Linked DNA regions of Xenopus tropicalis. The protein of the gene in region 1 binds, or shares a complex with, the protein of each later gene. Links are inferred from orthologs where the notes say so. Each region holds a gene or a part of one and is shown in the gene's direction. Other genes may lie near its edges.

What was found.
Region 2: the proteins of rabgef1 (region 1) and rab21 are in contact, whole or in part, in a crystal structure (PDB 2OT3), measured with the Homo sapiens proteins. The link is inferred for Xenopus tropicalis from reciprocal best matches to the Homo sapiens genes RABGEF1 and RAB21. Residues at the interface, in NP_001273991.1 of Homo sapiens: Leu253, Cys254, Lys296, Phe299, Asn300, Lys303, Pro309, Ala310, Ser311, Ala312, Asp313, Phe315, Leu316, Pro317, Ile320, Leu347, Met348, Thr349, Gly350, Glu351, Gly353, Tyr354, Tyr355, Thr357, Asn358, Cys360, Cys361, Ala364, Phe365, Ser373; in NP_055814.1 of Homo sapiens: Ser19, Phe20, Lys21, Gly26, Glu27, Gly28, Lys32, Thr33, Leu37, Thr50, Thr51, Leu52, Gln53, Ala54, Ser55, Phe56, Ala71, Trp73, Asp74, Thr75, Ala76, Gly77, Gln78, Arg80, Phe81, Leu84, Ile87, Tyr88, Asp91.

Annotation. Positions count from the first base shown.
Region 1 is NC_030678.2:48,716,493-48,720,146, reverse strand, and holds part of rabgef1 (rab5 GDP/GTP exchange factor), read left to right. Parts: intron 1-103; coding exon 104-270; intron 271-3,155; coding exon 3,156-3,237; intron 3,238-3,654. UniProt on the Homo sapiens protein: Rab effector protein acting as linker between gamma-adaptin, RAB4A or RAB5A. Involved in endocytic membrane fusion and membrane trafficking of recycling endosomes. Stimulates nucleotide exchange on RAB5A. Can act as a ubiquitin ligase.
Region 2 is NC_030679.2:59,983,051-59,986,804, forward strand, and holds the start of rab21 (ras-related protein Rab-21), read left to right. Parts: upstream 1-1,119; 5' UTR 1,120-1,293; coding exon 1,294-1,446; intron 1,447-3,754. UniProt on the Homo sapiens protein: The small GTPases Rab are key regulators of intracellular membrane trafficking, from the formation of transport vesicles to their fusion with membranes.

The DNA of each region.
Region 1 (3,654 bases):
ATTGCGGAGTATTCTTTTTCTGTTCATTTCAGTGATAATGTACCCTGTAATAGGTTAAAAAAAATAAAACTTTCTTTTTACTCTGTATTTTATGTGACAACAGATATAAAAGAAGCAAAATCCCCAAGCCCTTCTCTGAGCCGCCAGTATAGCTTGGAAACTGACCGCGTGTCCAAGGATTTTATTGAGTTTTTAAAGACTTACCAGAAAGCAGGACATGACGTGTACAAAATGTCCAAAATCTTCTTGGAAGCCATGTATCACAAAAGGGTAAGGAATCCAGTATCTGCTGCTGTTAGAATAGTGTTAGATGGCCTTTCAAAACACTTGCCACTACCTGATCTGAACACCTTACATGTGCAACTGTGTATGTGTTTTTGTTTATGTTTTAATATACACAGTTGTCGGAAGTGTGGATTGCAAAAAAAAGGTTTATACAGATTTCAATCCACACATTCCCTTCAAATTACATAGTTAAGTCAGATTAAAAAAAGATCAAAGTCCATCATGTTCAACCCATCCAAGCGATCCCCAGCACATACACATAGACCCATACTGATCTGTCTGTACACTCACATACTAAAACTATATATAACAACATCAATACTAACTGTAGATTTTAGTGTCACAATAGCCTTGGATACTATGCTTGTTCAAGAACTCATCCAGGCCCCTCTTAAAGGCATTAACAGAATCTGCAATCATAACATCACTTGGAAGGGCATTACCCAACCTAACTGCCCTCACTGTAAAGAACCACCTATGTTGCTTTAAAGTTCTGTTCCCCTAATCTAAAGGGGTGGCCTTTGGTGAACTGATGCTGGCACAAACTTATAGTCTTGTGATTTGCAAGTATCCTATCCCTTATTATCCTTTCCAAAAGCTTTCCTTCCACTGATGTCAGACTAACAGGCCTATAGTTTTCAGGCTGAAAATGGGATCCCTTTTTTTAATAAGGACACCACATTAGCAATTCACCAGTCTCGCGGCACTATTCCAGACCTCAATGAATCCTAAATAAATAAGTGAATAGGTTTTGCAATCACAGAGCTAAGCTCGGTTAGTACCCTGGGATGAATACCATCCTGTCCTGGACTTCTGTTTACCTTTACATGTTCAAGTCTCTTTTGAATTTCCTCCTTAGTGACCCATGCATCAGTATGATAAAATATGGTTACATAGAATCTTATGGCCACTTATGTGACACTGCTCGTATAAAAAAATCTTATATTAAGTCTGTTTTAGAGCAGTTTAGTGTGGCAGTGGAGATGCAAAAGAGCTGCACATTTGCTATTCGGGTAGCTCTGTAAATTAAATGAAATCATCACTACTCCAAGACAATTTAGCGCACACAAAGGGAAAACATCCTTTTCAAACAGAATATGCGCTAAAAACACTTCAATTAATTACTGGGGGTTGCCCACCAGTTAATATAATCATTGACCTCAGACAGGTCCCCCTCTGGGGGTGGTACTATTTTAGTGAGCTCCATATTACCAATTGTTGTGCCTCCCAGGGATTCTTGGTAGCTGGTCTGGACTGCACATACAGTACATAGAGTATAATGAGAACTTAGATGCTAAAAGCTGAACTTTTTCTCTGCTGTGCATGCACACAGCCCAGGGTAGCCGCAATGATCCAGCAAGGAAACTAGATGGGTCTGGGTTGCCTAACCTGTGTTTGTATCAGATGACTATTGCTTGAAATCTGCATTTTCATTATGCAAAAACAAGTGTTATGGCAGAATAGGACAAAGTGCTCACCAGTTTGGCTTAAAGGTGAAGGAAAGGCTAAGTCACCTGGGGGTGCCAAAATGTTAGGCACCCCCTAGTGACTTTAATCGCTTACCTTGTACCCCGTGCTGGTGCCCCTGTTAGGAGAAAACAGCACCAGCCCGAGGTGACTGCAGCAAGCACTTCCTTCTGTCGTCAAAATCCCTGTGTAGTAGAGTGAAAAGCTGACATTTTTGTTAAAGTTCGGCTTTTCATTCTACTGTGCAAGTGTGCGAACAAGGAAGAAGAGCTACCCCGGGCTGGTGCGGTTTTCTCCTAACAGGGGCACCAACCCAGGGTAAAAGGTAAGCGATTAAAGTCACTGGGAGGTGCCTAACATTTTGGCACCCCCAAATGACTTAGCCTTTCCTTCTCCTTTAAATCTGACCTTTGTGCAGTCATTCCTTCTGTGTAATGATCAGTAGAATAGATTTACCAGCATCTCCAAAAACTTCTGATTGGAAATAGTCAAGGCAAATACATGGGAAGGAGTCATTTGGTTAAAATTGCCTAAATATGCTAGACCCACTGCTATATAAAATATAGCTTTAACCCATTTATCTCGGGGCTGTTGTTTAAACATGTATTATCGTAGTTGGAACTAGTCTTAGTTAAATGATGCTTCCCCATACACAAGTCTGGGGCCCCTAACAGCTCAGTTTTAGGGAATGCAGAATTTCATTAAGATTGTTATTATTCCAATAATGTTTATTTTATAATACTTAGAGATGCACTGAACCCAGTTTTGGTTTGGCCGAATACCGAACCGAATCCCATTTGGGATGGTTACATTTTACACTTCCTTGTTTATGCACCGCATTAACCCTTCCAAATCCTAATTAGCATATGCTAATTTGGATTCGGATTCCATTTGGACAGGACTGTGGATTTGGCTGAATCTGAACCCTGCCAAAAAAGGCTGAATGCTGGCCGAATACTGAACCGAATCCTGGATTCGGTGCATCCCTTATAATATTTATAACATCAATAATAATCACTATATTCTTACCTTTACCATCTCAATGGATCAGACAGTGTAGCATATTTTTGGTACATGATGGATTAGCCTGTAAAAGTAGTTCTTCCCAGTTGTTCACAAACAATCCTTTCAACTTACTACATTGATAGTCCTATTCAGTAAAAATGTTTCCTTGTAGTTAGAAACAGCGGGAGCTAATGTGGGATGGTCCAGGCATGAAGAAGGCTATAAAGGTTGTTACAGGTTTCCCTGGTGAGAAACAGGACTGTATCAATCAAATGGCATATGTCCAGGAGCTGCTGTGACCTTATGCACTTTTTTCACTGGATAACAAAATATGATTTCATTTTTGGTGGTTCTTAATTGGCTAATATATCCTGTATGTCCTTTTTTACTTATCCTAGGAATCAAATATTGACGAACAATCTGAATTTACCCAGGACTTTTATCAAAACACAGCAGAGAAGTTGCAGATGTATTGGAAGGGTAACATTCTTTTTGTTGTGATGATTTTAAAGATTGGAAGCATCTCATCCCAAACCTGGTCTACATTCCTAAATATTTGTGCATTTTTTTAGTAGCTTAAGATAATAAAGGGTGTACTATGTCATGGATTTTTTTTGTTTGTGGAATTGGGTCCTGTTAGAAAAGCTAGTTTTATTATGATTTAAGACAGACTTTAGATTTAGTACTTTAGGGAAGACAGTGATAGTGTATTCATTTCACGCATGAATAAAGTAGTGGTTGTTTAAAATATACTTAGTAAATCTAATTTTATTATGTGGTGGTCACGTCTAACTAAACTCTTGTTTATCAGAGTATCTAATGCATATTTTTTATGGTTAGCAATTCAGAATCTGACTCTGTTTTTCTAGAATTAGACATTTCGCTTTCTTTCAAAAT
Region 2 (3,754 bases), on another chromosome or scaffold:
TGGAATGTAAAGTATGCCGTATTCTGCTGTAATGCTTTGAAAATTTAGTAATTTACTGCTGGGAGTTTTTGATCTATAGAAGTCAGAAATCTCAATAAAACTATACACATCAGGTATTGGCACGTTCGGGAGACATGAGGCTTTCCAAATCAGTTGAATTTTTGTCCATAAAATAAAATATGTTTCTGGTAGAAATCCTTATATCATGAAAAATAGCATTTTTTCTTTTTTTTTTTGTATTTCAAGCTCTAAATCTTGTTCCAGAAGTGGAAATACACAAAAACTCAGGTAGATTTGGAAAGCTCAGGTTCTCCTGAAAAAAACAATATATAGTTTGCCTACCTAAACTTAACCCTGCCCCCAGTAAAAGCCCCTACATTGAGAGAGCACAGAATGTTTACAAAACGTCTGGCACTGGGGGGAACTGAAATGACGAATTCGGCTGGCACTTAAAGGGTTAAACCTGCACAATCAGTATCTGCCCGATTTCAGGCCAGATATTGGTAGGGCAGGCCCGTCGTTACTGCCCATACTCGGCCGTTAAGCTGCCAAATCGGGACCGATATCGACAGCTAGAATCAGCCCGTGTATGGCCACCTTACTACCCCACGCCCAGTGAAGACACATTACACATGCCCTCAGGGTATCAGCTACACATGCTGTAATGATCCCCAGGGAAGAGAGTCTACTGGGGCTGACAGCTCTTTGTCAATAGTTGGTAAGCCAAAGTTCTCACCAATAACCGCACATCTGCATTTTAATGCCACCTATTGTATAGCATGTACCAGGGTTGGCGGGATTTACTACAGTAAAGGAAACGTGGAGTCTACAAAACACTACGAAACAAAGCAGAGCTCATCATTTACCTCGTTTCCTCAATACTGAGTAAGATGTGTAATTACAAATTTAGCAAACATGACACAATCCAGCCACTGGTAGAACCAATCTACACAATCCCGCCAATTAATATTGTGAGGTGCGTCAGCCGAACACACCCTGTAAGATTTCCAATCACGCCTTCCTGTCAGTCAGACTCTAACATTCGGCATCACACCAACATCACGTGGTGGTGGGTGACGTAAGAGGAAGAAGTCGCCATTAGAGACTAAGGCGGATAGAAAGCTCTTGAACCTCTGGCCTGTCACATATTAAGTTCCACTGACAATTGTTAGTCGTGTTGACTTGAACTTGAGGGGCGCGTCTCTAAGCGGTGCCAGGAGCCCGGTGCTGCGTGATTGCTTCGGTGCGGCCTGGGCTCCTTGTGTCGGTGGCCTTAGTGGCTCGTTTGGGTCCATGGCGGCGGCTGGCGGAGGTGGAGGTGCGGGGGTCAGCAAGACTTACTCGTTCAAGGTGGTGCTGCTCGGAGAGGGCTGCGTGGGGAAGACTTCGCTAGTTCTGCGTTACTGTGAGAACAAGTTCAACGACAAGCACATCACTACCCTGCAGGTGTGAACGGTGGCATTGTCGTCAGGCGCTCATATAGGGGGCAATTACACTTGTTTATCTCATGTACCAGTGTCAGGCTTTTCTTAGTGCTGCCATATATTCCTTTTATACTTGGAGGCCTAGTTACTAGATCCTGGCTTGCTAGGAATTAGTGTATTAACTAAGTTAGTAAAATGATGTGCAACATGAAATTGTCCAGATGTTTCATCTTCATGCATCCTTTGACAGCTGGTGGCTGTTAGAGCATTCTGAGAGTTGTAGTTTGACACTGCAGGAAGGCAATTTGGGTATTGATGGTTAATTTGCACAGAAATTATTGTATCCCCCAATCTACATCTGAATACAAATTGTGCATGCAGCAAGTGTACTGTACAAGTAGTGTATTGGGATGATAAGATAATCCTGTGCTCTCTGTAGATGCACTACTACCAAAAGCATGAAAACAGTACTACTCCACTAGTTCTACAACAGCCTGGGGCCATTTATTTTATTTTCTCAATATGGAATGTGTATGTCGTTTCACTCTTGTGGGACAGTTAGTTGTATGTCACTTAAATGCACCCTTGTGAAACCATGCTGTAACATAAGCTGGCATTTAGTAGCAGTGATGCTGTTCTCTTGCTACTGTTAAACAAAATGCCCTGTATGTACAGATCATAGAAAGTTTCGTTTATCAACAGGCAGGAAGGTGCAGGGTGAAATGTCATACTGTACAGAACATAAGCAATCCAGCAGTTCACATGACGTGGCTTGAATTTCACTTATGTATTTCAGGTTATCATGTGGTTAAGTGAAAGCTTGCTTTGTACATTTTTCCACAGCTTGCAAACCTCAGTTATTATCTCTGTTTCCAGTATATTCAGATTGGAGCACTTTATTTCTAGGTTTTCTTTTTTTCTCAGTAGTTACCTCCCTAAATGTTAAAATACTATTCTAATCCTGTATTTTTTTTTCATTTAAAATGGTCCTCTATGAACTTTAAATAGCTGCTAAATTTAAATATGTAATACCTGCTTGCAGATAATGTCAAAATAAATGTTTCACAGAGCAGCCTTTACTTATAGAAATATCTATACAATTGTTAAGTTGGTTGCAGTTCTGGTGTCCAGTGCAAGTGCTTAGTTGTTCCCAGCTGACAATGTGTGTTTGCTAAACTGCCTAATTATTGCCACTGGTAGCATGGCAATGGTTCAAGACATTAAAGTGTGTGTGTAATCATATTCAAATAATGTTTAAGCAAAAAGACACTTTAAAAAATTCTAGGGATCTTTATGATAATCTTCTCTTCTAGATGAGGAATGCCCTATTTAATAGTTTTAGGGTGAAGACACACACATAGCTACTAATACAGGTAAGGGATCCCTTATCCGGAAACCCGATATCCAGAAAGCTCCGAATTACGGAAAGCCTGTCTCCCATAGACTCCATTTTAATCAAATAATTCATATTTTAGAATATGAATTGATTTCCTTTTTCTCTGTTAAAATAAAACAGTGCTTTGTATTTGATCCCAACTAAGATATAATGAATCCTTACTGGATACAAAATAATCCTATTGGGTTTAATTTATGTTTTATTGATTTTTTTAGTAGACTTAAGGTTTGAAGATCCAAATTATGGTAAGACCCCTTATCCGGAATACCCTTGGTCCCGAGCATTCTGGATAACGGGTCCTATACCTGTAGTAGCTACTTGTTGTGGCTACTAAAAATAGACAGTGCTGATCATTTAATGATAATTGTCTCTACGTGTGGTTTATCAGAGGCAGTTCTCAGTATTGTCTATGGCAAGGTATTTTCTGGAGTTTAGTAGCTGTGAAAAAGTAGCTGCTACTAGTACCAGTAGTGTGTCTTCACCCTAAAACATCAGTGGGGGTATATAGAAGGTTCTAAGTTTTCCCATGTGCAGTGACCCATTGCTACAAATCAGCATGTATCATTTACTGGTCATCTGTTTAAAAGCAGACACCATATTGGTTACTGCACCTGGGTAAACATAGTGCTTTTTATTATATATGAGGGTTGTCCTCTTATCTGCCATACAAAATGTTAATATTGTACTAAAAACACTGGTATATTGCACTCTATTTATAATTTATTTATTTATATTTTATAATTTGAGAGTGATTGCGAGTAAGTGGCAGTGCTATCAGCACTGCTAAGATGTTTAAAAGAAGAACTAAAGTTTAACTATAGATGTAGGTTACACATGTTGTACATTATGTTTTGTGCTTCTGTACCAGCCCAATGCAACCACAGACCTTTAGCAGTTAAGATCTGTGCCCCCCAAAGATGCTTCCTATCTTCTT